Linked DNA regions of Diceros bicornis minor. The protein of the gene in region 1 binds, or shares a complex with, the protein of each later gene. Links are inferred from orthologs where the notes say so. Each region holds a gene or a part of one and is shown on either strand. Other genes may lie near its edges.

Region 1 (16,190 bases):
GAAAGGATAATAAGAAAATATTAATAACACCTTTATGACAATAAAATTGATAACACATGAAATGGACAAATTCTTTGAAAAACATAAACTATCAAGGCTCAAGAAGACATAGATAACCTAAATAGCCCCATATCAATTAAAGACATTGAAATAATAATTAAAAACTTTCCCACAAAGGAAACTCCAGACCCACTGGTAAATTCTCCCAAATATTTATGACAGTATTACTAATTCTATACAAACTCTTCTAGAAAATACAACAGGAGGAAACAGTTCCCAACGTTAGCCCTCACTTTATGAGGCGGGAATTCCCCTGATACATAAACCAAGGCAAGGTAAATTATACCTTAAGAAAGTTATTTTTTTTGCTGGATAAGATTTGCCCTGAGCTAACATCTGTTGCCAATCTTCCTCTTTTTTTTTCCTCCCCAAAGCCCAAGGCACGGTTGTATATTCTAGTTGTAAGTCCTTCTAGTTCTCTGTATGTGAGCCGCCACAGGATGCCTACTGACAGACGTGTGGTGTGGTTCCGCCGCCGGGAACCGAATCCGGGCTACTGAAGCGGTGAGAGTATGGAACTTGAACCACTAGGCCATCAGGGCTGGCTCAAGAAAGTTATTTTTAAAAGAAAAAAATGTTCCTAGTAATGAAATGATCACTAGGTTGGTTCGATTTGGTACGATTGATCAGAAAAATCTAAAGAAACAGAGGCTTAAGCAATATAAATGTTTATTCCTGCCTCACTTAAAAGAAGTCTGACAGTAGGCAGTCTAGGGCTGGTATGGTGGCTTGAGGGTACCATCAACGACCCAGCTGCCTTTTGCTGTGCTCATTCAACTTCAGCACGTGGCTTTTATGTGGCTTTATTGTCTAAAATGTTCACTCATGGTTTAGCTAATACATCCACAATCTGGTCAGCAGAAAGGAAGAAGGGGAGCATTTCCTCGCCTTTTATGGATACTCCCTACAAGTTCTTCACCCCACTTTGCTTTCACTCTGCAGAAAGTAGCCACGTAGCTGCAAGAGAGACCGGGAAATGTAGTCTTTTATTCCAGGTACCAACGTGCCTGGCTAAAAACAGAGGTCCCATAAAAAGCGGGTATGGGCAACTAGGAATCTCAGATACAAACAAGCTGACTACTTTCAACGTGTAAATTCAGATGAGTTTCTTGATAAAGCAGGTCTCATCGTTTATAGTCTTATGACACATGACTGTACGTGTGTGTGTGTGTGTGTGTGTGTACTGCCCATAAAAAATTAAGATGTTTTGTAAAGAAATGGAAAGATATCCCATGCACGTGGATTGGAAGAATAAACATAGTTAAAATGTCTATATTACCTAAAGCAATCTACAGATTCAATGCAATCCCAATCAGAATCCCAATGACATTCTTCGCAGAAATAGAAAAAAGAATACTAAAATTTATATGGGGCAACAAGAGACCCCGAATAGCTAAAGAAATCCTAAAGAAAAAGAACAAAGCAGGAGGCATCACAGTTCCTGACTTCAAAACATACTACAAAGCAATAGTAATCAAAACAGCATGGTACTGGTACAAAAACAGACACACAGATCAATAGAACAGAATTGAAAGCCCAGAAATAAAACCACACATATACGGACAGCTAATTTTCGACAAAGGTTCTAAGAACATGCAATGGAGAAAGGAAAGTCTCTTCAATAAATGGTGTTGGGAAAACTGGACAGCCACATGCAAAAGAATGAAAGTGGACCATGTGCTATCGCCATTCACAAAAATTAACTCAAAATGGATCAAAGACCTGAAGGTGAGACCTGAAACTATAAAACTCATAGAAGAAAATATAGGCAACACACTATTTGACATTGGGTTTAAAGGAATCTTTTCGGATGACATGCCTACCCAGACTAGGGAAACTAAAGAAAAAATAAACAAGTGGGACTTTATCAGATTAAAGAGCTTTTATAAGACAAATGAAACCAGAATCAAGATGAACAAACAACCAACCAGCTGGGAGAGAATATTTGCAAAACATACATCTGACAAGGGGTTGATCTCCATAATATATAAAGAACTCACACAATTGAACAACAAAAAAACAAACAACCCGATCAAAAAATGGGCAGAGGAAATGAACAGACACTTCTCCAAGGAAGATATACAGATGGCCAATAGGCACATGAAAAGATGCTCAACATCACTAATCATCAGGGAAATGCAAATCAAAACAACACTAAGATACCACCTCACGCCCGTTAGAATGGCTATAATCACCAAGACAAAAAACAACAAATGTTGGAGAGGATGTGGAGAAACAGGAACCCTCATACACAGCTGGTGGGAATGCAAATTGGTGCAGCCTCTATGGAAAATGGTATGGAGAGTCCTCAAAGAATTAAAAATAGAGATGCCCTATGATCCAGCCATCCCACTACTGGGAATCTATCCAACGCACCTGAAATCAACAATCCAAAGAGGCTTATGCACCCCTATGTTCACTGCAGCATTATTCACCATAGCCAAGAAGTGGAAGCAACCTAAGTGTCCCTCGACTGACGATTGGATTAAGAAAATGTGGTATATATATACAATGGAATACTACTCAGCCATAAAAAAAGACAAAATCGTCCCATTTGCAACAACATGGATGGGCCTGGAGCGTATTATGTTAAGTGAAATAAGCCTGAAAGAGAAAGACAAACACTGTATGATCTCACTCATATGTGGAATATAAACCAACACATGGACAGAGAAAACTGGACTGTGGCTACCCGGGCAGTGGGGGTGGGGGGTGGGCACAAGGGGTGAAGGGAGTCATATATGGGGTGATGGACAAACAAAAATGTACAACCCAAAATTTCACAATGTTAGAAACCATTAAAGCATCAATAAAAAAAAAATTCTAGCCAATAAAAATCAAATTTTACTTTAAAAAAAAAATTAAGATGTTTTGGAAAGAAAAAGCATGAGAGACCAAGGGTTTGCTTATAAATGAGACATTCCTATCAAAAGAATGGGGCCATGGGAGAGCAAAAGATAGAGTCAGTTGGATATATTTCATTATTAATTGCCCGCGTGCTCACCTTCCAACTCTGCTTTCAAGCTGTTCTGAATTTCTTCCCCTTCCATCTTTGTATTTTCTATTCTTTTTGCCTGAAACATTTTTTTCCAGATCTTTTAAATTTCTCCCATAGTATTTTGCATGCATATTCTTCATACTTTATCTGTGTCTCGCCTGCTCTACTATGTATTCTATGAGTACAGGAGCCATTCCTAACTAGTTCAGTACCGTTATCCTTATTGCCCTGAATTATAGCAGGCACACACACACAAAAGTGGCATGAATTAATAACATTGTGGCTACTCATAGCTATTTGTGCGATCAGCCCCACCTCTAGTAAATACATTACTGTAGTCATCGAAGCATGCGAGGAGAAGCAATATGTAAATCTGTTTCTCCAATCAAAAACCCAGTGTTAGCCTGTGTGACACAGCTCTTTGAAGGCCACCAGACAGGCAACTGTGTTGAACTGAAAACAAGTCTTAGAATTGGGGTTTAAAAACATATGTTTAATTCCTGCTACTTGTCAGCTATTCAGGCTTGGTTAAGTCAGTTTCTGCTAGTTGTTCATCAAAATCCACTCTCCTTTTCTTCCTAAGGCATATGACCAGGCTATATGTCTCAGTCTGTCTTGTAGGTTTTTCATGTGATCGAGTTCTAGCCAATAAAATATAAGTGGAAGAGATGCATGCCACTTCCAAGCTTGGCCAATAAAAACTTACAAGCTCTCCCACCACATGTCCTCCATCATCCTTTTTCTTCCTTCTGGCTAACCCAGATGGGAACAACCATGGTGACATTGGGAGCCACATTTTGAAGATGGTAGATGTCACTCAAGACTTGGTTCCTAAATGTCAGCATGAAGCAGAGCTCCTTCTGAAGATGAATGACTACCCTAGTCTCGAAGGAATACATTTCTTCTTCTCTGATCCACTAAATATTTAGGGTTTATTTGTTACAGCAATTGGACTGATTCTAACTAACATGGAGAATAGTAATATCTGCTTCATAGATGAGATGACATCTGTAAATCCTTAGCACAAAGCCTGGCACCTTGTATGAAAAAAAAAATGGTTTGGATGAGAAATAAATCAAATAACAAATGAATGTGCTTTATAAACTAAAAAGTGCGATACGGTATTAGATATTCCAGAGCTCTGTCTCCTGGGTAGTTCTCAGTACTCATGAAATCTTATTACTTCTATAAAGTCTTTTCTTTGAAGTGAAATTAAGCTTTCCCTGATCACTTGCACATTTCAGTTGTAACCTTTCAGTACACACACGAACACACAACCATCTTATACTGGATTTGCATGCATCTTTACATGCTTTTAAATAACAATCTGTAATTCAGGGCATTCATCTTATAGTGTAAATTTACAAAACGCAAGTGTGTAACTTACTGGAATGCATTATAACAAGTTAGACCCGTGGCTGATACAGGTATATCCTTATGAAAATGCTATTAATTATGGAAGAGATCCAGAACTGTAAATGAGGTGAAAAATGATTTATTAAGCAAAATGGGAAACCACGTATGGCGAGTATCTGTCCTAAAGAACTCTTGCTCCAAGGTCTTAAACATAGTGACAAATGTGCAAGCAAGAGAGTAGGAGTAAAGTAACTGTAATCACTGTTTCTTCCACTTTTAGGGGGAAAAAACCTCCAACTCTGGCTTCCACCAAAGTTTCTTTCTTCCAATGTTTCTTACCAGCCCCTGTTCTCATTTCAGAGCATTAGTAATGCCCAGAATATGCCTGTCCATTACAACGACCAATGAGCACACTAAAGTTCATGTACAGCTTGAACAAATTAGTCATCTGCATTTGAATGCCTCCACTGTGGATTGCACATCCATTATTGCTGGAGTGCATCTGCATAACTTTTAACATTGAAAAGAATTAGGCTTTACTTACCAAATTTTAGTTTTCATCTGTGGCTTTTAAATACTGCCCAGTCAACGTATGTTAAAAACAAAACTGACCGTAATAGAAGGCATCCATGATAAGTTTCTCAAGCCTTTTCCCCCTCTGTATTTATTCTGATATTGTTCCCTTTTTTAGGTAGCAGTAACATTGTGTTACTTTTTCGGTGAAATCTTTTACAAGCCAGACTAGAATCTGATTGGGTACATTGTAATGTGTTAGTGTTCAATACATGTTAAGTAAATTAGCACAGGTTATAAAAAAAGAATTAATATAATGCTTTCATGTGAGTCATGATTAGGTAAATATCTTTGTATGTTAAAACTAGCATGCTAGTTTGCTATGTTTTAAGACACATGAAGACAGATCATTCATTCACTTATGCCAGAAGTGTTTTCAGGCTACAACTAAGTGCCAGACACCATGCTCCACGCTAGGGATACTAAGATGAACAAGACACAATTGCTGTCCTTAGGGAACTCTGTGTAGTGGCAGAAACATAAAAACAAAGAGTTCTGTATCATTAACTATATGAAAGGAATACAATATACTCTATCATATTTGAACATTTAATTCAAACTTTACTTGCCCTTTGGCTATACAAATAAGCATTACTAAAAATGATTTTCAAGGTTGTTTTGATATTTTGTGGTCTCTTTAAAAAAATCTGATGAAAGATAAAATTCTACTTCCCAAATGGTCATAATTAAAAGCGAATGCGTATATAATTAAGTATACTATAAGAAATTACACAGATGTCATGGGAAAACACTGTTTCATCAAACCTGGCGTTTTTTAAAACCATGTTAGAATTGTGCTTCATTCATTAATTAACTCAGTCAACAAGTGTATATTAATTGGTTAGTTTCTAAGTGCTTACTAGTTAGACTGTAAGCCCCAAGATTCCCAGTCTTTGTTGTCTGTGCTCCTCCAGTGGCACACATTAGAAGCTTGATGTATGCTTTCTTGAATGAATATTGAAAGAACTCAGGGCAACTTGCCAGATTCTGCATGTGCCCTGGTGAATAAGCGTGACTCCTACTCACACCGAGCTTACAGTCTAATCTAGAACCAGATTCAATGTTATCCTTGAGATTTAAACACTCTCCCTAGAAAAATAAACAGTTTCGTTAAATGAATGAACCTAGAAGAACCTATCACCTAGGTGATACCATCATATCATGGAGCTAAAATAGACTATTTTGAATACAATTTATTTTCCACTTTCATAAGTACATACATGCATAGATATACACATACACACGTACAAAAGCACTGCTGATTGTTGTAAATGACAAACTTTTTTACACATCTTAGCCAGGCCTTGGAGAAGGCTTGCAGCCATTGCTACAAAGCAGATGGTGCCCCCTCCTTTGCTGACTGACCACCCACCCATATCCTAACCAACAGCCTCCCAGCTTCCCAGTCTGTTGCTTTTCAAAATGTCACTTTATTATTATTATTACTATAAATCAATACTTTAGTGCTTCTATTTAATATTCAGTAAAATTTAAGCAAAAGTGACGAGTTTACACCAAAGATTAGAATAATCAATGACATTTTGGATATGCCTATATCTTTAACCATACCATGACCTGTTCTTTAAGCCTGACTCAAGCCAGAGTATGACGGAGATAGTTTAAAAATATCTACGTTTATCTTTAAGAACAAGTACTATATCCCATAATCATTTAATATACCACGGCAAAACATAAAAGGCAGCTGAAGCCCACGGCAGCAAATTTCTGTATGTACATTTCAGTATACAAAACTGTGTACACTCTGTGTTACAAAACAATACTGATGCCTGGAAAACCTTTTCTACAGAGAGTTCCACTGTAGTAAGAGTTGTTGAAATAAGAGGTATCCTATAACATGAAAAAATGTGTCTTATTAGGAATATCTGAATGGAATGTTCTAACATTCTTGCTATGGCCATTACTCTCTTATCAAGAGTTCGGGATCTTAAGGAAGTGCTTATTTTGTCCAAAATGTGGTACTAAGACTTCTCAACTCTAGAGGAAAAGTCCAATTCTGTGAATAACCAGCGCTGTTTTGCAGAGATGAAGACAAACGGGAGTCATAAAGGGGAAACCCCTGACTAGGGTCTGGAAGTGGTCGATGTGGACCTGGTAGGCGAGGCCAGCTGCAGATTCCCAGGAGACCGCAATCCTCAGGTTATCAGGCCCATTTCTGCTCTGGCTCGTCACTACTGCCCTCGTCAGAGCCTTCCACTACTGACTGGATGTCCTTCGTCGACACTTGCCCTCCGCGGCGCCCGAGGCCTTCGTAGGTTTCAGACGCTCGGTTGACGAATGGTCCCTCCCCAATCTCCGAAGAGAGCGACCTGTTCCCGCCCGCGGGCTGCGAGGGTTCCTGCGAGGCGGCTGGGGAGCAGAGGGACTGGAGCTCGGCGGCGGAGAAAGGCAGCTCCCGGGCGCGAGGCCTCGCTTTCGCGGCTTTGAAAACTTTCCAGCGCGCGTGCCACGGCGACGCGCAGCGGCTGGGCCGGAGCCCACGCGGCCCGCGCCGCCTGCGGGGAACTTTTCGGCGGTTCGGCTGCCTTGTCACTCTCGCCCGCCGACGCGCCTCCCCCTGGGCTCGCGCTCCGCGAGCTCCCTCCCTCTCGGCGAGGACCTGCCCCGGCGCCGCCGCCGCTCTGCGCTCGCCCTGCCCGGCCCCGGCCGCACCGCGCAGGGAGCCCCTCTCCCCGGCCACCCGGCCGCGTGCCGCGCCACCGCCGCCCGGCTCCCCGCGTCTCGCTCTTCAAAATGGCCCGGCCCCGTCCCGCGCCCTGAGAGCCGGCGAGCGCCGCGCCGAGCCCCGGGCGGCCCCCGGAGCGGGGGCGGGGGAGGGGAGGAGGGCACCCGCCGCGAGGGGCTGGCGGCTGCTTCGAGCCGACTTTTCGCCAATGGTCCAAAGCGACATGTCCAAGTCGCCTCCCACAGCGGCGGCGGCGGGGGCGCAGGAGATCCAGATGGAACTGCTGGAGAACGCGGCTCCCGCGGGGGCGCTCGGAGCGGCCGCACAGGTAGCGAGAGCGCGGCGCCTTCTCCTTTCTTTGTGAGCCGCCCGGGCGCCGACCTCCATCTCTCCGGGCGCCTCTTCTCCTAGCATCCCTCGCCTCGCCGCTTCCTCCTGCCTGGGTCTCCTCCGCCACCTCCTCCTTCTTCGCCCTTTGCCACCCACTGTCCTCTCTTGGCACCAGTGCCCCTGCCCCTTTTCGCCTTTCCCTGGCTCTTCTCAGGCTTCCATTTTTCTCTGCTTCCGAAAAGCAAGTGGGAAGGGGCGGGGGAGACCTCCCGGTCTTCAGAGGCTACCCGCGGGCTGCTCCGGTCAGCCCTCCTCGCCCCTTCCCGGGAGAGGCGCATGGAGAGACATGAACCAGGCGAGTGGACTGGACCTGCTCAAGATCGTGAGTCTGGGTGGCCGGGAGGGGCTCCGCTTCCCGCAGCTCTTGCTCCGACGCCGACCCTTCTAGACGTGCTCTGAGCTGGGGTCGGAGTGGGGGCCGTGTGATGGGGTAGGGGGTGGGCGTGGGGGGTGGCGTGGGTAGGGGCGCTCTGCCCCTGACTCTGGAAGCAGCCTTGAACACCTCCCGCACCTGCGGCGTTACACCGCGTTGACAGCTAAGCTCCCCTCCGGGCGCTTGCCAGGGTTTGCCTGGACCCCTCGTTCCTTTCTCTTAAGAAGAGAGCGAGTAGGGGACGCTCAAGTTTTTATTTTTTTTCATTTTCCCTGAAATGTTAGCCATTTCGGGGAGCTCAGGGACCACCTTCCTCTCCTATGAGTATTAGCGGTTTCTGGAAAAATTACAGTTAGCTGCCGGTTGTGAAATAGGAGATGTCAGTTGTAGGCGTTGGGCAACGATAAGGTGGCTTTTACGTAAGGCTTTTGGCAGGTACAGTTTGGATTCCAGACACCTCTAGGTCTCAGCGGTAAAGTCTCTCTCAACTTTTATCCTAGCAGGGAAATGACTTAAGACTCCTAGCTGTGGGCTGCTTGGCGAGTGATGTGAAGAGCTTAGAGTTACATTTCAAGCATCATTTTGGAGAAATGTCTCTTCTTTGCTTAACGATATTGGCTTGTTGATTTCAAGTCTACATTTGCCAGACTGTAAACTGTGGTGAGATTATATATACATAATGCTCAAGAGAGGGCATGTTAAAGTAGTATTTACTGTAGTAAGTAGAGCAGGAATGGGACAAGGTAATAAAGGTTAGGAATGTTTTGTTGCTTGTTATTGTTTTGATAGGTGGTGGAAATTGACAGCTCTAGATGTTTTGAGACTGTTAAGAATGGCAGTTCCAGTGGCATAAGTGTGGAACTTTATTCCCCTTTCTTTTACCACTTAAAATACATAATTCACTTTGGTTTGAGATGGGAGAAGAATGTAGAAACCAAGAACTTGTATAATCAGAAGTCCATTTGTTTCGTAGAGATAAAACAGCTCAATTTGTCTCCCTTGGGCTGTCTGGCTGTAAAGCAGACTGGGAACATGTAACTAACCACTTGCATTTCCTTCGAGCCTCTGCCAGTGGACCTGAATCCTTACCGACACATGTCACGATTGTTCTAGATTCCTGATTTTATCTAGACACTTACCAGGTTAGATAGAATGGGAAATGTACTCAGAGACCTCGGTTATTCCAGGATGAAGGTCTTGAATATTGATAGAGGAAAGGACTTTTAGACCCTCCTTTCTCTTTGATCTTCCTTCAAGGATTTTTTTTTTTTTTTAATTTTTATTCCTGTGATAAAAATAGAGTTCCTGAATTCCTGGAGATCAAAGTTAGGGCTGACAGAAAGCATGACCATTCAGATAAGAGGTCCCCATTTACTTAGTGATTTACATGGTTAAACGTAAGTCAACAAGTATTTTTTATGCAGCTGCAATGTGGAAATGATTCAGATGTGGGGAGACACAATTTCTGCCCTACATTCCAGTAACTGCAAGTATGACCAATGTATGACAATTGTATAGCATGGGTCTATGGGAGAAGAACTGAATCTTATAGGTTTCAAAGGAGTAAAGATCACAAATATTCTACTTGGAGTAGTCTGTAAAGACTGCATAGAAGAGGTGGCGTTTGAGAAGAGATTTGAAGGGTGGGTCAGATTTCAACAGAGATATTCAGAGAGAGGGTAGAGAGCTATACAGGAAACAAAGTCACAGGAGCTAGGAGTCTTAAAGGATACATTTATAATCTCTAGTTTTAAAAGAGTATGGAAAAGCACAGATTGGGCATAGTTAGATGTAAGACTGACAAGGCAATCTGAGGCCACATCTTGGGGGCTTGGAACGTGTAGTGTATTGAACAATATAGAGAACCGTGGAAGGGGTTCAGTGAAGGAGCCACGTGGCAGCTCATTCAGAAGATTCATCTGGGAATGTTCTGCAGGACAATTTGGAGTCTCAGGAGTCCAGAGGTGGAAGTGCCAGAAGGGAGATGGATATAACAATTTGGACAAGAGGTAATAAGGCTTAAACTAAAAAGAGAAAAGATAATGGATATGACAGGACTACGCGTGAGACGTTTCAAAGACTGAATCCACAGGAATAGGCAAGTGATGGCATAGATGCATGAGAGAGAGCAGAAAGGGAGGAATGGGTATTATAAGCAGGTAAGAGGCATAAAGATTCAACTGCGTCAACATCCATCTCCTTGTTTTCTCTACCTTCCAACAATGAAAGCAGTTTTCCTTGAATTGTGTTCATATCACATCCATTATTTCAGGGAAAGATTGCCTTGTTTATTTCATCTCTAATAAATCATGGCATCATAGGGCTAAGAAACTTGGCAAAGGTTCTATTCCATCTCTCTGGGCAGGACCGGCCAGCAGTAAAACCGCCTGAGAAGGGAGGCTGTCTGAGGAGCAGCCCCCTTTTGTGTGGCACTGAGTAACAGGAATTCTACTTAGAAATGGAATTTTTACTTGCAAATGGTACTTCTAAGCAATCACTTGTTTTAAGAATCCTTTCTATTTCACCTCTGGATTGTATTACAAGTTCTATAGGAACAAAGCAAAAGATGCAGATTCACAGACTGCCCATTTTCCTTTTTTATGTCAATAATCCTGCCTGGGGTTGGGGCACGCTCATACATACCAACCCCTTCCCTCCAGCACACTGGCATAAACAAATGGATGTATTCTTACATGAGAAGCAAGTAGCAATCTAACTGCAAATTCTTGAAAGTTCTGATTTAAGCAAATTGAATCGCTTTTTAGGTAGCCTGTTGAACAGTTTCAGTGCAAACTTGGACACAATCTACCTGCAAAATCAGGGGCCTAATGTAGGATTCTCCTTCAAAGCTCCATATCTGCACTGTCCACTATAGTCGCCACTAGCCACATGTGGCCTCTGAGCACTTGAAATGTGACTGGTCTGAACTGAGATGTGCTATAAATGTAAAATGCCAGATTTCAGAGACTTAATATGAAATAAAGAATATACAACATCTCAGTAACTTTTATGTTGATTACATGTTGCAATGATAATATTTTTGGATATGTTGGGCTAAATAAAATACATTATTGCAACTAACTTCACCATTTTACCTTGTTAATGTGGCTCCTAGAAAATTCCAATTACCTGTGTGGCTTCTATTATATTTCTCTTGGACAGTGTTAGTCTAAAGTATGGCACAGGTAATTCCCCGGGGAGTTGACTAGATCCTGTATGAAGGCTGGGTGGATGGGAAGTAGGTGAAAGGGATAGAGAATAGGATGGTGACAGAAGAGGAAATGGACGAGCAACGAGAGCGGTATCTTAGCACTTTAGGCCTCAAAGAGATTGTAACCAGCACCTCCAGTTACACCTGAAAATGAACAGACAGTAACCAGAGGGCCTGTTTGTTTTGCTCCTAGCAACAGAACCCAGCTGGTTCCGCCCCAGCTGAGTTTGCCAGATGCTTTTCAAGCATGTTGTAGTAATACAGCCTGGTAATGGCAACATCCTGCATCGCTGTAGCACGAGCTTTATCTAAAAAGAGCCGCAGCCATGCTCCCGTGGCTCTTGAACCATATCAGTACTGTGTTCCAGAAATATTCTTAGGTCCGACGTCTAATTTAGTCTTTTGCGGTCTCCAAACTTAGTGGTCATGGGTCCTGTGTTTTATGCCTTGCTAAACCTTTCGTTCCTAACCCCCATCACTTTCCAACGGAGTGGTATATTTGTTCTGGTGTTTCATGGGAGAAATTTTAAAACGTGCCAGCCGCAATTTCTGAGTGTGTTCTAAAATGCGAAATATAATATCCGACTAAATGAGTGATTGAGGTTTAATTGGTCTTGGAGTTGTATGTGTCTTGTCTTTTTGTATTTCCTTTTATGTAAAGACTTAGTTTACCTGCTGCTGTATTTAATTCCTTGGAATTATCCGGTATGTAGCCTTGGGCCTTTCAAGAAAAGCTGAACAAAATATGTTAACCCTGCAGGAGGTGGTGGCCCTCTTTGTTTTGTGACTTTGGGACATGTCTGTGTCCTACAAATAGTATATGGCATTACTTACTTTCACAATGACAGGGAGTTAAAATTAATGATAACACCACTTCGAGTACTTGGGTCTGTCTGACGGTTCTCTCCAAGCCTGGCCTGGAGGTAGATTGGGAAGAGGGCAAGGTTGGTCTGTGCCCTTCTGCCACCTCCCTGCCCCTGCATGTCCCCACTAGGCATATCTCTGCTTCCTGGCCTCCTGCCTCTTCCCTTCTGTACCTGCCAGACCCCCCGAAAAGCTCTGTGTATGCTGCCTCTTGATTCCCTTCTGCTTTTGTGTAAACTGACGCACTATAAAAAACAACTTATGTTTTCCTTTTTGTAGGGAGGTAATCTCAATTACTTCTCTCCTAGTAAAGGATCTGACAGCCTCATTCACACTAAGCTATTGGTAAAGGAGATTTCACGTCTGATTCCTCTCTGGATAGTTTTGGCTTTCTTTGCTTTAGACCATAAGACAAGGAAAGTCCCCAGTTCAAAGGGATAAATATCAATGAATGCTAACTGAGAGAGATGAAGCTGACTTCAGCCATCAGCGTTATGCTCATGGGGAGTAGTAGTTTGTAGGTAGGAGAACTGTCACCATATCCATCAACCACAGATGTGGCATCATTCTTAAATCTGTCCCCAGGGGCTGTTGAGCCAGCTCTGTGCAGGACTGGGCTGAAATCTCCAGTTATCTGGCAGCTTCTATAATTTACTACTACTGTCTGCTTCAATCGTCCGGAAATTAGATTTTAATTACCTGTGGAAATGTGACCATTTATTTGCTGATTTTAAGACTACAGTCCAATTTTGAAAGTTAGTTATCAAAGAAGACATTCATTCACATGACGCTGATGTTAACGTCATGAAGAATGTTGGATATCTTTTTAATGTCATTTATATATTTCATAAATCTTTTTTTTCCCTAGTCTCTGAAATCTTAGCTTGGTTGATATTTTAGGAGAAGTAAAGGACTTTAAATATATGGTTTTCTTTTTTCCTTTTTACTATGGTGACATAATTTGTTTTTATTAAGCTGCATATAACTAATGGGCAATGCGTGGAAATTAGTGCCTTTTAGGACTGTGTTCCAAGAAAAACTTAGGGGTCTGCATGTGTCACTGAGAGTGTTATGGTTTACATTTTGCACTCTGGCCAAACCTGGGCAGTTTTGATTGTTAACTGTCTCCTATATTGGGTATTCATATGTTTAGTGTTGCTAAAAAATATTTGGATAAACCATTGGTCATAAAAGTAGCTGCCTTTGAAGTAGCAAATTAAGTAAGAAAACTATACTTCTTCTCCAAATTTAGTCAACTAAATATCTGAATACTTAATCTTTCCTGTCTTTTTCCATTTGGGGGAAGTTTGGCCTTAATTTTTTTTTTTTTTTTTGAATTCCTTCGTATGAAACACTCTTCTTTTTATTTTCAACGATTTAGAGTAACTAATGAACAAGTAATTCCGGCCAGATGGACTTAAATTTAAATATGCATTCGACTAAAGGAAATTTCATTTTGTAATGGTGGTATAAATTTTCACTAACATTGTTTAAAGTACATAAAAATGGACTATTATCTTTCCAAAAGATGCTTTAATTTTTTTCTTGATCCTGGATATTGTTATAAAAAAATAACTAGTCATTGAGTCATTCTACAGTTAAAAGTTAAAAAAGAAGATGATAGGAGAGAAATTACTGCTGAAATTAGTAAAATAGCAGAATAGAGGTGTAATTAAGCCTATCTATTTTGGCTTTTAATATGATGTATAACGAATAAGGATTTGCTGTAACATTATTAAGGCCTAAACAAGTTAATACTTTGAATAAATCATCCCTCATAAATTTAAGTGACTGAAAGACAATATATTTTTCTCAAAACTATCACCTGTTTGCATGTGATTCAGTGTTCCATAGCTTTTTAGGGTACAAACTGTGTCTTGGTACAGTTGAAAACTGCGATAATCCGGCATACATACGTTGCATAGGTAGCTAAGTATACCTGAAGTAATGTTTATGAACAGTATTCCCAGGGGCCTGGAAAAATTAATGTAATTTTTAAAATGTGTCTAATTGCTTGCAGAGAACTGAGCCTCTGCTGGGACTGAATGTCTTAAATATTGTGTAGTTCTCACAATGCCTATTATGCAATTGTGAGCAGCCATGAAAAAGCTTACACACCAAAGCAGCTAAATGGTAAAACATATTTATCATTAAAAATCTGGAAGAAATGACAGTAATAGAATTTCAGAGACGCTCTACCCATTTCAAAATGATACTAGAAGGACACATGATAACGAGATGAGGTTATATTTTCTTTGTTCTAAAAGACAATTTATGCTCCTCATGAAGATAAATAGTGTATTTAACATAGGTTTGCCCCCATCTTCCCCCAAAGAAACCTGTTAGGCCTTAAAAATGCTTTCAAGGCAATAAGTATTTTCCCATGTGGAATAATGTAATTTTTTAAAAATTTTATGGAAATGTTCATACTTTATTTTAGCGTTCTTAGGCCTTAGAAGACACTTCTGTCCAGACTTTTACATAATAATTGGAAAAGGAAGAACGTTGTTGAAAGAATGTTATTTTTCAACAGTTTACTGAATAATGTTTACATAAGTAAGAAGCATAAGCTGTTAAGTGAGGAGAACCTTGTATAATACATTATGAAAGCCCAGTCTAGATTGTCTTGCCTTTTATGAAGTTGAGAGTTAATTAAATGCCATGGAAACACATTTGTATTATATAAATCCCTTAGATATTTGCAAGAGAACAAACATATTTAAGAAACATTTTTGCTTTAAGATTATACCACTCTCTCCCTGATTGCAAATTCATCTAAATTACTCATAACACAAATGTTTGTAATGGATTTCAGCTTGCCTAAGTGCTACGTATATTATGGTTTATAAGATAGTTCCATTTTAATGAAAACCATATGGATATATAAAATACAACAAAGTAGCATTTTCAAAACCCAAACATGGTGATTTTGAAAAAGTAAATTTTGTAAATTCTGATAATCAAATGAAGTCTCTGGGAGCCTAATCATTCTAAACACGTTATATATTTTAGTCTAATTTTTCTCCACACCTCTCACCCTAATGTGGATATCACTTTTTAAAATATTATTTTGAGCCTTTATAATGTTTTAGATCTTATACTAAATGCTATTAATGTATTATTTCATTTAATACTTAAAACAACCCTGTGAGGTGTGTATTAATATCCTCATTTTAAGGAAGGGAAGACTGACGCTTGGAGAGGTTAAGAAATTTGCTTAATGTCTAAAATAGCAGGATTCCAACCTATGTACGTTTAACTGTAAAGCGCAGTGTTGAGCCATCTTTCACTTATATTTTAATATTCAATATTTGCAATAACTTTATCTGTGCCTAGAATTAAACATAGATGGAGGCATAATTTATTCTTAGTGCTCTGCGTATAAGCTGTAGTAATAGTAGAAAAAGCAAGTTTATTTGTAGATGTTTGTGCTTGGCACAATCCTATTATTGAAACAAATTCTTACTTTTAACATCTTGTTCTTAAGGGCTTATTTTATTGTTATGATTATTCCATAAAATTTATTTTTCTTGCCTTCTCAGCAAATCACTAAGTTGTTAAAGAGCAAGATTTTCACATCATATTCAAACATTACAACAATGGGCCAGAAAATTTTACAAAGTATTTTAATTTCATATAATTCACTCCCACTTATATAGCTGTATCACCATCTCTCAAAGCT
Region 2 (16,206 bases), on another chromosome or scaffold:
TTGTCTCTCAATCTCTTGTAACTAGATAACACTGTAAAATCAAAGGATTGTCTTATTGCTTATCGGATGCAGTTTAATATTCTTTACTCCTGATCTGGGAAGTCAATGATTGGGTTATTTTATATTATTTTATGTTTCTTAAGAAAACTAAACTAAGTCGCTTTTTATTTGTGTGCCCCTTCATTGATTTCGTTTTCCTACGGATCCATGACCCTCAACAGAAAACACCTCTGCTCCTAGTTTAGATGGTTTCTAGTTCATGCATTCATTTCTTCATCTCCAGGCTACCTTTAAGTTATCACAAGGCAATTGATGCCGAGTTTCTTTTGGAAACACATCTGAGGTGCTGCCGAAGTCATAGCTTTCATTGAGATGTGGGCTTCCTTCTTTTTTTTTTATAATTTTATTTATTTCTTTCTTTTTCCCCAAAGCCCCAGAAGATAGTTGTATGTCATAGTTGCACATCCTTCTAGTCGCTGTACGTGGGACGCGGCCTCAGCATGGCCGGAGAAGCGGTGCGTCAGGGCGCGCCTGGGATCCGAACCTGGGCCGCCAGCAGCGGAGCGCGTGCACTTAACCACTAAGCCACGGGGCCAGCCCTGGGCTTCCTTCTATCTGGCCTAAATCATCTTACTGCTGCTTAAGCCTGTGGTCTCCCACTCTTTCCCCCTCCCCCAATGACAGGGTTACTGGTGCTCCAGTGGTTGAGGGAGGTAGTGACCCCTGAAGACGGGGCCTGGTTTAGCAGCAGTAAATGTTCTGTGAGGTAAACAGCCATCTCTTTGAGCTTCTATATTTAAATCACTTTCCTTTGGAACTGAGTTACCTGGGGTGTCTGACTGCCGGTGGTGATGTCAGAATTGCTGCTGCTCTTTTCTCTCTCACAGCTTCCGGTGCTATTTTAGAGCCTAATGCAACCCTCTTACATTGGTTAGATTATTCGCTATAGATTCTCTTGAATCACTGCTCCCAAACGGTTCGTGCTATGTCATAAGTCTCCACGTGTTTTCTTCTGGACAAAGGAACATTTCTGTTTCATTCTTTAAGGGCCAATTGCGGTTGTCATTGAAAACCCTCCGAAAAGAATCGACTGAATTCAAGTGTATTTCACCGTCAGCTGCCTCCCTGACTACTCGTCTTCTGTGAGCTCTGCCTTCGGGGCAGAGGCCCGAGATAAAAGCCCATCGAGAGCCTGGCCAGGGCACAGCTATTTGGCGGTTCTGGGGTGCCGAGGATACTCTGGCACAGGTAGTGTTTGGCTTATCCACCCCCACCAGGTAAATACCGGGCTGCAGTCTGGATGAACTGCTGCTGCTCCCAGGTGCTTGCATAAAAACTGTCTTAGCTCAGACCACAGGCGGAGGCTGCATGTCTGGGGAAGCCAGCATGAAGATTCTTGAGGGGGTGGATTCTTCCCCTCAGTGGCCCAGGTACAATGTTCCCCTCCCTCTTCTCCCCTATGAAATGATCTCACATGTGGGGGATGGAGGGCACCCAGTGGGTGGGGTTCCCACTCAGAACATCTGGAAGTCTCAGCTTCTATCTGACATAGTTGAACTTAGGACTTGAGGACGGATGGGCCAACCTTGTCCCCTCTCTTGGACTAGCACATGAGGAAGGCCAGAGTCTTCTGCCCTGAACCCTGGAGAATCATCCGCCCCAGGGCCCCATGGCTGCCCATTGGAGACCACAAGCTCTTTTGTGGTCCCTGGTGGCCCTGGCGGTGGTGGGGGCATGTCACACCCAGGCCTCAGCCTGGACATGTCCAGGACCAACAAGATGCTCATTTAGGACAAGTCAAGCCAGGCATCTGTCAGCATCACTCCAGAATTGCCCAGGGTCTGATGGGTCTGAGAGGGGCAGACCCCACCCCTGCCCCTTTGTCTGGTGGTGTCTGAGTAAACTGAGTGTTAAGGGCAACTTGAAAAGGAGGGACATCGAGATGGGCCCTGTGTGGGGCACTTAGTCACAAGTAGGGGGTGTGGAGGACAGGGGCAGTGACAGCTCTGTGCAGACTGTGTGCAGATTCTGAGCCTTCCTGCCTCTGCCTCTCTGATGTGCCTCCACGCCCCCTTCTGCCTCCATCACACTTGCACAAAGCTCAGGGCTTGCAGCTCTGCCTCGATGGGCTCCAGCCCCTTCACCAAGCAGAACAAGCAAGTGCTTTGGACCAAGTTGGTGGAGAAACCAACACCAGGGTGATGATCTGTGACCATAATTGGGAACTCTGAGGCTCCTCCGTCATCCTTTGTCTCTGCAAATGGCTCACAGTGATTTTAATATTTGTATTTCAGAAATGTCTACCATAAACAGTCATGACTTAGTGGTCTAAAAACTTTAAGTGTGTTATTACTTAAAAAATATGGTGAACTCAGCTATTGGGCTTGAGTGGGGTTGAAGTATTCTGGCTAATGAAAAATTCTGGTTAAGGGAGTGACTATCTAGGCAGAACCATATCTAACTGAGACAATTTCAAAGAACTGAAACAGAAGGCTCGTTTAACGCCAAGCTGAACTTGAGTTAATAAGAGATCTTTTTCTGATTGTTGGAACAGCTTGAATGATCATGGGATGCCTCTGAGTTGTCACTGAGAATGCATCAGTGTACCCAGTGCTGGTGGATGCAGACTTATATATTAAAAAATACCTTGTTGATTTGTACAAAACTAAGGGAACTAGTACTTAGGGGTCAGAAGAAATGTTTCATCCACTTGTTACTTGCAGCAGTGCCAGGGATGTCTTCACCCTTTTTGTGGAAGAAGTTCTTGATGCTTGCAACAGTGGTTTCTCTGTGCTCTGTTTCCCCTAATCTCTCTGAGTGAAGACTTTTATAAAATGGTTGGAAAAATCCCTGGAGCCCAACCCCAGAGCTTCAGAGCATTGCTGTCCTATGGGGGAGAAGTCTAGTTATGGCCTGGGTCTCCAGCATGGGCTCCTGTGGATGGGAAAGGGAACCCCTAAAGTTTTTGAGGTCAGTAGCATCAGTGCTTTCGTATGGCCCCAGGCCCTGCATCGAGTACTGGAAGAAAAGATGGGCCACTGAGGAAACAGGGCACTGGGCCAAGCTGCTGCCTTGCCCTAAAGAGGCAGAGCCTGAAAGAAGCCACATTCCACCTAGCCCAAGGGCAAGGGATGACCCCTCTGGGGATTCACTTGGGCTTGCAGACAGACAGCCTCTCTTGACAACTGGGGAAGCCCCTACTCTCATTCTGGAGGCACTGGAATTGACCTCAGATGTTGATCTTGTGTATGACAGTCCTTCTAAGACTCTTTGAGTCAGTGGGAAAACCAAATTAGCAATTTGTGTCCTCAGAGCCTCCAGCATTCTATGGCTGAATAGGACCTTGAAAAGTCTCCTCTATTGCACCAGCTCCTGGTCCAGCTTCCTCTAAACCACATCATGTCAAAAGCTGGCCTCTTATGTATTTGCTTGGGTCAGCAGCTTATAAGGGCTGTGTTTGTTTGTACAGTGGAGGATATAGGAGGGAACTAGAGAGCAAAAAGGCTCTGGATTTGAGACTTGGATATTGAACTTATACTTGTTAGATGGTTAGCCACGGGAAGGCCCCTCTGAGCCTCAGTTTTCCCACATGTAGAAGGAGAACCATCTGTAGAATGAGAGCCTCTTCACTGGATTGTTGTAAAGTAGTATGATGTATTGACTAAGCAGGTGAATTTTAGGGGTATGAATCCTCGCTGCTCTGCCATGGTAATTGCATGACCTTGGTCAAATCACTCAATTTCTCTGTGCCTCATTTTTTTTCTTTATTTGCAAGATGGGATGATGATAATAGTATGGACCTCATAGAGAATTTAGTGAGGATTAAATGAGTTTATATATATATACACACACACACACATATATATGTCATCCCACTGCCTTCTGGCCTCCATGGTTTCTGGGAAAAAATTAGCTGTTAATCTTATTAAGAAGCCTTTGTATGTGATGAGTGGCTTCTTACTGCTTCCAAGATTCTCTGCCTTTATCTTTCTTTCTTTTTTTTTTAAAGAATTTGCACTGAGATGCTTCTTCTTCTTTTTTTTTTTTTTGAGGAAGATTGGCCCTGAACTAACATCTGTTGCCAATCTTCCTCCCTTTTTCCTTTTTTCTCCCCAAAACCCAAGTACATAGTTGTATGTCATAGTTGTATGTCCTTTCTAGTTCTTCTGTATGGGATGCTGCCTCAGCATGGCCTGATGAGTGGTGAGTTAAGTCTGTGCCCAGGATCTGAACCATTGAACCCTGGGCTGCTGAAGCGGACCATGCGAACTTAACCGCTACGCCACTGGGCCAGCCCCTATCTTTATCTTTCAACAGTTTGATTACCATGTGTCTAGGTGTGGATTTATGCTACTTAGAGTTCATTAAGATTCATAGATTTATAAATTAATGTTTTTCATCAAATTTGGGAAATTTTTGGTCATTGTTTTTTTTACATATATTTCTTACTCCTTTCTCTCTCTTATTCTCCTAGGACTACCATTATGCATGTGTTGGTACATCTGATACTGTCCCACAGGTCTCTGAGGCTCTGTTCATTTTTCTTCATTCTCTTTTTCTGCCTGTCCCTCAGACTATCTAATCTCAAGTGACCCATCTTCAAGTTCACTGATTCTTTCTTCTGCCTACTCAGATCTGCTATTGAACCCTTCTAGTGAATCTTTTATTTCAATTATTGTACTTCTCAACTCCAGAATTTCTATCAGGTCCTTTTAAAATAATTTCTATCTCTTCTTAATGTTCTTTATTTCTTGGGACATCATTCTCATCTTTACTTTAGTTCTTTACACATGGTTTCTTTTAGTTCTTTGAATATATCTAAAATAGGTGACAAAGTCTTTGTCTAGTAAGTCCGGTATGTGGGCTTCCTTAAGGATCTATTGATTGCTTTTTTCCCCTTACATGTGGGCCTTACTTTTTTAGTTCTTTGCATGTCTTGTAATTTTTTAAAATTTTAAATTTAAAATTAAAACTGGATAATTTAAACAGCAGAATCTAGCAACTCTGAAAATCAGATTCCTACCCTTCCCCAGGGTTAGTCCCTGTTGCCGTCTGTTATTGTTGTTTGTTTGGTGACTTTTCTGAATTAATTTTGTTAAGTCTGTATTCTTTGTCATGTGTGGCCACTGAAATCTCTGCTCAGTTAGTTTGGTGGTCAGCTCATAGGGATTTCCTAAAATGCTTGGAACCAACGCATCTCTCAGTCTTTACTGAAGTGTTCTCTGCTCAGCAGAGAGGTAAGGACTCAGGTAGGCATCTATATTTCTGCCTTAGCCTTCACTTTCTGCTTGTGTGCAGGCTCAAGATAAGCCAGAGGTGAGAGCCTAGGACCTTCTCTGGTCTCCCTGTGCACACATATAGCACTGTGCATGCACCTGGCCTTCTACATTCTCAGGAATGTGTTGGAGCTTTTCAAAGCCACCTTGGACATCTTATGCCCTAGTTTTTTAGTTAGCCTATTTTTTGCCCTAACTGTTATCTACTGCCTCAGGCAGTTATGATATTAAGCAATTGTTTCTAATTGTTTTTGACAAATGCCCCCTGGGAAAAAGACTACTCTGCTGGACGAGCTCAGGTCAAATAAAGACAGCCTTGCAAGTGGAGACTTCCCAGGAACCACCAGAGAGATCAAATAATGACAATTCTCTGGGAGTGAGGCTTTGAAAGAGATCCAGCCCTGTTCTGTCCTGTCTGACGGCTACCAGGCTGATGGTTTTCACTATGATGGCAGACTGGTGGTTTTCAAGGCTATGACAGAGTTAGGGAGGGAGGAACGCAAATAGAGCAAGTTAAAACACCGTGAAGCTCGCTGTTCTTACTGAGATTCACCATTTTTTCTTGAATAAGCACTTGCTGGATAGCTGGATAGCTGGATAATTTTCAGAGTTCTGAAAAAGTTTATTCTGACCATTTTGCCAGTGTTCTCATAGTTTTTATAAAGAAGAAGATTTTTGGAGGTTCTTATTCTGTCATTTCTTCTGATGTCATCCAAAGTTAATATATGTAAAGCACTTAAAACAAAAAACAATGTTTGGCAGATGGTGCTATATTTCTGTTTGCAGTTATTATTATTGTTGTTGTTAATAATACATGAGAGAATGTATATGAACTCTATTCCTCCCTCCAGAAAAGAGTGATCCCACAGAGCACAGGAAGAATGGGCAGGGAAGGACAAAGATGTCCACTTGCAGAGAAAGGAGAGGGGAGAAGGCAGGAGCACACTTCGGAAGCTCCTTGGGGGTAAGGCAGTGCTCACGAGTATGAGAGGGATGATTCACTCTGGACCAGGGCAAGAAGGCATAGTCTAGGCTCAAGGAGGCTCAAGGCCAAGCCATGCCTGCTGGTCCCCTGTGGCTAGTCCAGTCACATCCCGCCACTCTGTCTCTTCCTTGTATAGACTCAGCTCACCTCCCTGCTCATCGGCTCTATAAACTCACCAGACTTTAAAAGGCAGGTGCCTCCAAGGACAGGTGGGCAGAACCGTAACACTGCGTTCCCTTGTGTGGTCCCTGGAGAATCTGCCTTGCCCTGCCCTGCCCTGCCCTGCCCTGCCCAGGAGAGTTGGCCAGTGATGCATGTGTTTACGGGCGTGCTCAGCCATGGCTGAGGGGCGTGGGCCTCTGTGCTATGTGATACTTTTCAAGCACATGTCCATGCCTATTAAAGTCCTCAGCCCTGGGACTTGGTGTTTCCAAGACAGCTGGGTATTTACGAGTCTTCCAGGTGTCCAGTGGGAATGAGCAAGGCAAGGGTTTCCTGGAGCCAGCAGAAGGGGAAGGAAGAGGAAAGAGAGAAGGGGGTTTAGGCCCCTTTGTCCCACACACAGACTAAAAGATCTTTGGGGATTTAGCACGGACACCATTGAAGGACAGAGTTCAAGGAACACCCAGTCTGATAACAGAGAATAATTCTGAAAACCAGGTGGGATCCTGCACTCACCTTTGTCCACTGCCTCCTCGGAGGGACGTTTGTGAGCAACGGAAGGGACTTTATGTTGCTGAGCCCAAGTACCGTATTTTATAGGAGGAAGCAGAGGCTGCGATGGGCTTTGTCACACCCGATAGTTGTTCGGGGGTTGTGAGCAACGCATCATTAGAGCCCAGGCCTCTGACTCTCCACGCAGGGCTCCTCTCAGCACATGCTCTGTTTGCTGTGCATGCAGAGGGCTCCATGTTTGCAGAATAGACTGGTCACCCTAATATCAGGTATTCTTGACAAGGAGCTCACCTTCAGTGTGTGGTTCAGTCACGTGGTAGGAAATCGAGGAATGCACTTAAATTACAGCAGAAGGAAATGCTTTCCAGCTCTTCAGGGGTCTGAGCTGAGGGAGGACCTACAGAAGGACTGACAGTTCTGACAAAAAGGCAGGTGGCTCATCGCCAACCAGGTCCTGCTTCACAAACGTGTGACCTGTGCTTCGCTCAAGGCCCTGCACCTGCAACGGACCCCTGCATGGTTTCATGCCTTGCTGTCGCCACCTTGAAATTCTTAAAAATGATCACAATTTCATTTAATTGCATTTTCATTTTGCACCAGGCCCCATAAATTCTCTAGCCGATCCTGTCTACACCCCAGCCTGGAGTCTGGGGAATGAACATGCCAGCCTCCTGGGTCCCTTCAGCCTGAGGACATAGGGCCACCTAGCCTGTCTCTGCAGGGAGAGAGTGGAGCTGGGCACACCCGGAGGAATGACCACTCTGGGGCCAGAAGCCCCTAAGCTGGAGGATCCTCGGTTTCTTTCTTGAGCCTCTGGTCCCACTACTCCAGCCCTCTGCTCTGGGTGAAAAGCCCCAAGCCTCCCCAAGACGGAAATAGCTAGAGACACGTGCCCTCTTTTTACAGCCCGGCTCTGGCCACCAGCAGAACCGCATGCAGTTCAGATCCTCTTCCCTGGGCCCGGAGGGCTGGGCGGTGGTCCGTTCTGAGATGGAGAAACCTGCCTTCTTTCCCAGGGGCAACTTTTCCAGGGGGACGAGGAAGAGCAGGAGGCAGGGACGGGGGACAGGGAGTGAGTACGTTACCCCCAGGCAGGGTGATGGGTCCGCAGCTCTTGTCCTTTTTGTTGCTCAGGACAATACGCTTGGTGCAAATCCGCCAGAGGCCGAAGTGGGCCGCCTCGCAGGTGGCATTGTGGTGCTCCACATGGGGGCTCAGCACTGCCCAGTGGTCGGTCACCACGGCCACCATGGCCAGCACGATGCCCACCAGGATGCAGAAGAGGGTCACGCGGACCTTCAGTGCTTTGGTCTGGGACATGGCGATGGCGGAGGAGTGGGCGCTCGGGGCAGGTCCGGTGGCAGCGTCTCCCTGGGCAGGTGGCAGCCGGGCTGGGGTGGTGGCGGCGGTTATCGAGCGGGGGGTGGAAGCTAAGTTTAGTGTGCCCGGCCGAGCCAGAGTGGGCTGGCCTTGGGGCTGAGGGACACTGGATGGGGCTGAGCAGCTGCCCAGACGTGTCAGGGGCCTGAGGGAGGCTTCTATTAATGCACATCTCCAGGCGTGTCACCGACGACGGTGTCGCCTCGGGTTTCAGGGCTTTCTTCCCCTCTTGGAGCCAGAAATACCCCAGGGAGGAGCGAGGAGAGAAGGCTTTAGATGGTGACTTGAGACCTCTACGGAGCGACTGCTCAGAATACCTGAGTTGGGAGGCGACGAGGGCTAGGCAACAGGGACATTACGGGGTGTGGGATCTGCCTGCTCTGGGCTGAAGGAGAAAGGGGACCCTGGGGGATACAGGCAGCACACGCTTCTGTTCTTCCACTGGGCAGGCCGGTCACCAGGGTGGGGTGGTGGGTCCCTGTCCTGGAGGTCTGGGGGACCAAGGATCCTGCCTCGGGACATCTTGGGGATCCCCTGCCCAGGCCTTCTGGAGCCCACCTCACAGGCAAATGCTTTGGCCCCAAGCCCAGCACATCCCCAAACCACAGGACGATGGCAGGTGTTTCCTGGGCTTGGCGTTACCGAACACTGTGCCCGATGTGAGAATGTTATTTCCTTCCGAATTCTTCTCCCATCCCTCTAGTTGGGTCCAGAAGAAAAGCTCCATTTGGGGTAAGTCTTTAACACCTTTCTGCTGCCTGCAAATCAAATAGCCTGGAGAGGACAAAGAATCCAGCTGAACCTGACTGTAGTTCTGTTTTCATTTTACTGTTTTAGTTTTACCCCTATTAATGGCAGGCAATAAAGATTTCCCAGCTGGGTTTTCATTTACAAAATAAATATATTTAAGTAAAAAAGAACAGAAGTAGGTTGACTTACGAGTGGCTAAGAGGCTAATGGGCGTGCGGATATAGTGGAGGACATATGAGAGTTTGGGACCACCATCCGAGAGTCCTGCCTGCCCATGTGCCCCCCAGGCTGGTAGTCCAGGCTCTAGCCCCTACAACTCTCCTGGGTTCTGCGTCTCTTCTTTCTCAGTTCACCAGGTGCCTCTTTTGGGGAGTATCTAAGAGGCTGATGCGTGGCCACGTATAGACCCCTCAGCTGGGCAGGGCTTTGAGCTTCAAAATCCTGGCTCAAGTCAACACAGATTACAGAAAACCTGCCTGCCTGTGTGCGGCTAACACTCAGGGGTCCAGCCTTGGAGGCACAGACTGTTAATAATAATGATAATTGTAATGGCAGCTCATTCAGTGAGTGCTTACTACATACCAGGCACTCTGCTAAGCCTTTCCATGTCATTGCAGTTAATCTTCACACCAATCCATGAGAGGAGAACAGCTATTACTCCCATTTTACAGATGAGGACATGGAGGCTCAGAGACATGAAGTAACTTGTCCAAGGTCACACAGCAGGTAAATGGTGAAGCCAGTTTTCAGAACCTAGAGCCCAAACTCTTTAACCAATGGTTGGAGCTGGGAGGAAATTTCAAGATCTATTGTGACTACAGGAAAGGGAAACTATCTTTTCCCTCTACCTTTCTAAGCTCTCAGCTTAGGTCCCTATAGGAAAAGACAGATTAACAAGAGAAAAGCATACAAATTTACTTCATATCAGTTATACATGACCCGGGAGCCTTGACACAAGAAACAAAGACCAGAAGGAACAGTTAAATCTGAGCGTTTTTATGCCAGGTGTGATCAAGAGCGGAAAATGAAAAAATATGATAGGACAAAAAGAGGCATGAGCTAAGCGCAGTCAACGAGAGAGGCGGCGGCCTGTTGGTTTGGACTCTCCCGGCGTCTTGGTGAACGGTGCGGGGAGGGCGCCTCTCACACGAGGGTCTTCTGACCCGCTTCAGGGTAAGGTCAGAGCGTCCTTCCTGCACCCGCCACGTCTCAGATTCCTTCAGCTGAAGTTATTCAATATGTCAACGTGCCATACCTGTGGGCAGAGTGTCCTGAACCCTGTCATGAGCGACGAAAGTAACCTGCAGCCTAGAGAGAGGATGTGACAAGCCAGGACCACCCTGTGAACAAGCCCCCGAGCTGAGCAGAGACCGCGCACCTCCAGCCACAGTCAGGCGTGAGGGCAGTTACATCTGAGACAGTGACAGCTGGGTTTTCATGTTACAAACCAGCCTCCCCACCCAGGTGATAATCTCCCGAGAGCTTCTCTCTCCCCCTTCCTCATCCCTGTTCCCCTTCTCTCCCTGGCGCCCAACTCCGGGATCCCAGTGGAACTGACCCATCACAACCGACTGACTTACTGACGCCTGTCACCGCCCTGCTCTGGCTCAGAGAGTGACGTCTGTCTCGGGGAGGTGGGCCGTCTCCACAGAGAACTCCTGGAGGCTGACATGGCACATGGCCTCGGCACCTCACACCGCCCTGTGGCCCGGCCTCAGGAGCCAGGCAGCCCGGCTTCTCAGGGGACCCTGGGTAGCCTGAGGCAGACCGCCTGTGTGCCAGGCACACCAGCAAAGCAGCAGTCGGGGAGTGAGAAGAAGGTTCTGGTGTTTTAAGACAGAAGAAAGAAGCGATTTTAGTTTTAGCACAAGTAGATATGGTGTCATTTGAAGAAATAAAAATGCATTTTGAGTTTCCTGGCGTGGTGGGGGTGGGCGTCCCAAGCTCTCCAGTGCCAGGAGCCTTGGAAGGTCTTGGAAGTGCCCTAAGTGGGCCTGACACACAGGGCGCTCCCAGTGTCAGCCACGACAACACTGCAGGCCCATCAGAGAAACCAGGCTGTGCCTTCCCTCAGTGGGGGCAGGTTTGTGCCGATGAGGGGGTCCTCAGTCCTCCAGCCCAGCGAGCAGAAGCATTAAAGATTGATGGCCTCTTCCTTTTGAAGTAGGCTTTGTGCAGATCTCCATGAGGCCGGCAGCTCCAGGTACTGCAGGCGAGTCTACTTTCTCTCCCTCGTTTACTAAAGGCTCCTTCATCCAGACCTTTTCTGCTCACAGAGGCCACTGCCAGGCTGTCTGCTCGATTCCCCAGGGCCTTGCTGGGCCAGGAAGGGGGCTTGGTGGACGCTGGCATTTAGTGGGAGCTGGGGCTGGGTGACGTCAGCATCCTCTGCACAGGTCCTGCCCTTTCCAGGGCATCAGGAAGGAGGGCAATGTGAGAGTGGGAACCAGCCTGCTGGTGATGGATCCAGCCAGCCCCAGGATCAGATCCCTGCTCTGCCAGGCTCCAGCTGTGTGGCTTCCAGCAAGTCATTACCTCTCTAAGCCGTCCTTTCCTCATCTATAAAATGAGAGCAGTGGAGCCTGGCTGGGGAGCTGGTATAAGGATTAGAGATAATGCACTTTACCGGCTTAGCCCATGGTAGGTGCTATGGACTGAATTGTGTCCTTCCCCGCCTCCCAAATTCATATGTTCAAGCCCAAACCCCAGTGTGATGGTATTTGGAGAAGGGGCCTTTGGAAGGTGATTAGGTTTAGATAAGGTCATGAGGGTGGGACGCCATGATGTGATTAGTGCCCTTATAAGAAGAAACACCAGGGGCCAGCCCCATGGCATAGTGGTTAAGTTCAGTGTGCTTTGCTTTGGTGACCCAGATTCATGGGTTCAGATCCTAGGCACAGACCTACACCACTCATCAAGCCATGCTGTGGTGGTGACCCACATACAAAATAGAGGAAGATTGGCAACAGATGTTAGCCCAGAGCAAATCTTCCTCACCAAAAAAAAAAAAAAAAAAAAAGAAGAAGAAACACCAGAGAGCTTGCCCTTTCTTTTTCTCTGCCACGTGAGGACACAGCAACAAGGTGGCAAGACAGGAAGAGGGTCCTCACCAGAACCCGACCATGCTGGCACCCTGATCTTGGACTTCCAGCCTCCAGAACTGTGATAAATAAATGTTTAAGCCACCCAGTCTATGGTATTTTGTTATAGCAGCCTGAGCAGACTAAGACAGTAGGCAATTGATCCAGGATGGCAATTGTTGTTGTTATTTTATTATTATTATTAATAGACTACAGATGGATGAGCCTTCTCTGATGGGCTATAAGCTTCTGGAGGGTAGGGATGGTGAGAGTGTATTATGTACTCATTCTGGGTCTCCTCAGAGAGCCCTCTGGATCTGAGCTCAAGGTGGGATCTTCATAAATGTTTGTTGAATGGTTGTTGGATGGATGGATGGGTGGGTGGATGGACAGACAGAGGGACTGAAAGAACAAGGGGACAGAAGCTCAAATAATTTACTTCGCCAGATGATCCAAAGGACATTTCTATGTGGTTTAAGGCCACAGGGACATAAGAAATGGCAGCTGGGGCAGACCAGGACAGCTTGGACCAAGGGCCAATTTGCTTGGAGGTGCTGAGGCGACGCCCTAGGAGGGCACCATTGTCGCCTCTGCGATCAAGTTCAAAAGGAAGCAGCCTCCAGAGATCTGACATTTTCTACAGACACTCTTCAAAGTAGATATGCCACACTCAGCTAATCGAGAGTTGTCTGTATTTTACTTGCCCAGATGTACCAGTTTTCATTTGTCCCAAATGACTGCTCTTTTCCCAAGAAAGACCAGAACATAACTAGAGGGAGGAAAACACCTCCCGGAGGTGGGCCTCGTTCAGAGTCAGGCTGGTGCACACCTGGGTGGGGGCCAAATAAATCCTCTTTGGCAATGTGCTGATGTAATTCTGAGCTCAGGCTTAGTTAGGCTGAGAAATGGCCTTGGGTGTTTGATCTTAAGATACTATAAAAAGGAAAGTGCCACTGAACTGGTCCCAACATCTTTACACAACGTCATCTCCCTCCTTGCACTGTTCAACCTGGACCCTCTGTTGCTTCAGGCTGGCTGCCCCCAATTCCATCCTGTGAGCTGAAACCGGGCCTTTGCCTCTGCCAAGGGGATCGAGATCTCTTCTCTTCGAAGCCAGCTGTTGCATCATGCTGACCTCTGCTTCTGTCATCACATCTCCTTCTCTGACTCTCCTGCCTCCCTCTTTCCCATACACGGACCCTTGTGATTACATTGGGTCCACCCAGATGACCCAGGAAAATCTCCTCACCTCAAGATCCTTAATCACATTTGCAAAGTCCCTTTTGCCATGTAAGGTGACATAGTCACAGGTTCCAGGGGTCAGGACTTGGACATCTTTGGGGGCCATTATTCTGCCTACTATAGGCACTGATTTACGATTTGCTTGATTTTCTCTGGCATCACCTTGTAGCTCAGGCACAGGGGTGGAGAAGATGGAAGGTGAGACTGAAGGAGGGTTGGGGCTCTTCCGGGAGGGAAAAGCTAGAAGGAAAAGGGGCCCAGGGAATTGAGGGCATTGGCGAGGGTTAAGTGATGACTTGCCATGTATGGGCTGGTTAGGGTGGTCCTGCAACCAGGCAGGTTGATATATTGGGAGAAAATGGAGAGGCCTGAAGGGCTTGATGAGTTTGGAGAACACGTGTAGTGGTGGTGAGGAGGTGAAATAATTGGGAGCATTGGAAGCTGTGGTCAGAGAGCAGGAAAACGGCCCTGAATTTTACAGGGGGAACAGTCAGGACTGATGACAAGCTCCAATTTGGAGATGAAGGTCATTGGAAGTTAGAAGGCCAGATAGTCCACGGAGGTGAAAAGTTCAGATGGCCAGTGGAGGTGAGAAGTTCAGATGGCCAATGGAGGTGAGAAGGCCAGAGGCCAATGGAGGCGAGAAGTCCAAATGGTCAATGGAGGTGAGAAGTCCAGATGGTCAATGGAGGTGAGAAGACGGGAGAGCTGTGAGGCCAGGGAGTCAGAGAGGCTGGCCCCATGGATGTTGACGTGGCTCAGTTTGATGGTGGCAGGAGTTGGGGTACAGAGGATGGCTTTGAGCCAGAGGTAAAGTCTCTGATGGACATGAAGGAGTGGCCAGGAAGGAGTCTGGGAGATGACAGTGATGAGAAAGGGTTCAGGATGGTCCACTCAGGCCCTCAGAGAAGGCTTTTCCCCAGGAGGTAGAGGAGTAATGGTTTGGAGGTCTCAGCATCCCCCACCACTTCCCTCTCCTGCAATTATAAGTCCAAGGGCATGAGTTCATAACCTTCTCTGATCGCAGACTTCTGTTCTTGAGGTTGCACCAGCAATTTTGTTGGAAGCTGCAAGTTTAAAAATATCTGTATCAGGTGTATCTGCCCCAGTCTTCCTCTGGATCCTAAGGTCCCTCAGATCCTTTTTCTCCCTTTCCAGCCCCACACCTCTTGGGACTGCATATGGGGCTGAGCAGCTAGGAGTATTATATTGGGAACCTGGGCAGGGAATCCCTGCAGAAGAATGGACAGCTTTCACCAGGAGGACAGGAAGAAGGTGTGTCCTTGGGGGAGAGGAAGATTTTATTTATCCCAGGGGGTGGAGGGAGACTTCAGTAAGGATGTGGGTAGATCCAGAGGGCACAGGGGTGATGGAGGATGGAAGGGAGGGTTAGTGGGTGGAGAAGAGGCTTAGAGCCAGGTGAGGGTACTGGAAAGACTAGGCGATAGACTGTGTCTTCCAAAAATGGCCACAGAAGTCTTTCTGCTCCCATATGTTCTTCCAGAACCTTGTCACTGCCCATCAAGAGGTGGAGTCTGTTTCCTTTCACCTTGAACTCAAAAGTGGGCTTTTGACTGTTTTCACCCTTCAAGTACAGAGGAAGGGATGCTGTGTGACTTCTGAGACTTTTGTCTTTCTCTCTTGCTCTGGGGACACTCGCCCTTCGACCCGGACAACATGCTATGAGAAACCACAGGCCACACAAAGAACCATATGTGGACATTCAGGCTGAAAACTGCAGCTAAGGTCTTTGACAATAGCCACCATCAAGTGCCAGACGTGAGCAAATGAGCCTGCAGACGGGTCCAGCCCCCAGCCATCGAGTCTTCCAGCCAAGGCCCCAGACACTGTGGAGCAGAGATAAGCCATCCTGACCATATTTAATGGTTGTTTAACACCACTAAGTTTGGGTGTAATTTGTTACACAGCCCTATGAATTGCTACACTTGGTGACTGTAAGGAATTACACTTTGTGTGGCTGAGAACGGCTAACTGTGAGGCCTGGTGGAAGGGACGCAGCTCCAGCCTTCCGAGAGGAACGTGGGATGAGTCTGACTAGCCGCCGGGCAGGAGTGGGGAGGGGAGGCTGCTATCCCCACAGCCCAGACACCCGGGTGTGTATGTGGACAAGAGCCTGTCTGCGTTTGCTGGTGGACAAGGAGCCTCATCTTTTCATCAGCTTCTAGGATAAAGCTGGGCTGGAAGTTCATAGTGGGAAGTCACCAGATCCTAACCAAATGATCTGAACCAAATGCATCCTAAGCATCCCAGCATTGGCCCCATTCAGGCACCATTTAAGCAAACAAGCTGTGTCCAGCAATAGAACACTGGTTAGATAAATGGTGGTATCTCTTTTTTATGCAGGCGTGAAAGATTATGTTTTTGAGGAATATTGAAAGAGGGGAGAAGATTCTCAAGATGAAAAACAGTGAACAGAGGCAGGGTATGAACCCATACCCCACATACTTTTGGGTGCACTGAAATGTTAACTGTGCTTACGTCTTGGAGAGTGGGATTTTGGCTGATATTGTTATCTTCTTTAACTTTGCTTTACTTTTCAGATTTTTTTTTTAGGTAAAATGTGTTACTATAGAATTAGGAAGACATAGTATTTTTTTTTTTTTTAAGGACCTGGCTATTGCAGTTTAATTTGTAGATTCTGGCGATCCCACAGGGGTTAATGTATTTCCCAGAAAACTTATCAGGGGACAAAGGTCAGGACATAGGTCCCACCAAGCCCCCTCTCCTGCAGTTGTAAGCATAAGGAGGTGGGTTTGTAACCCTCTGTGAGCATGGACTTCTGTTCTGAGGTTGCACT

What was found.
Region 2: CACNB2 (region 1) and CACNG1 share a complex: the UniProt entries of both Homo sapiens proteins name them as parts of the calcium channel complex. The link is inferred for Diceros bicornis minor from reciprocal best matches to the Homo sapiens genes CACNB2 and CACNG1.

Annotation. Positions count from the first base shown.
Region 1 is NC_080775.1:18,231,787-18,247,976, forward strand, and holds the start of CACNB2 (voltage-dependent L-type calcium channel subunit beta-2), read left to right. Parts: upstream 1-7,868; 5' UTR 7,869-7,878; coding exon 7,879-7,998; intron 7,999-16,190. UniProt on the Homo sapiens protein: Beta subunit of voltage-dependent calcium channels which contributes to the function of the calcium channel by increasing peak calcium current. Plays a role in shifting voltage dependencies of activation and inactivation of the channel.
Region 2 is NC_080757.1:48,245,430-48,261,635, forward strand, and holds the start of CACNG1 (voltage-dependent calcium channel gamma-1 subunit), read right to left. Parts: upstream 8,257-16,206; coding exon 8,022-8,256; intron 1-8,021. UniProt on the Homo sapiens protein: Regulatory subunit of the voltage-gated calcium channel that gives rise to L-type calcium currents in skeletal muscle. Regulates channel inactivation kinetics.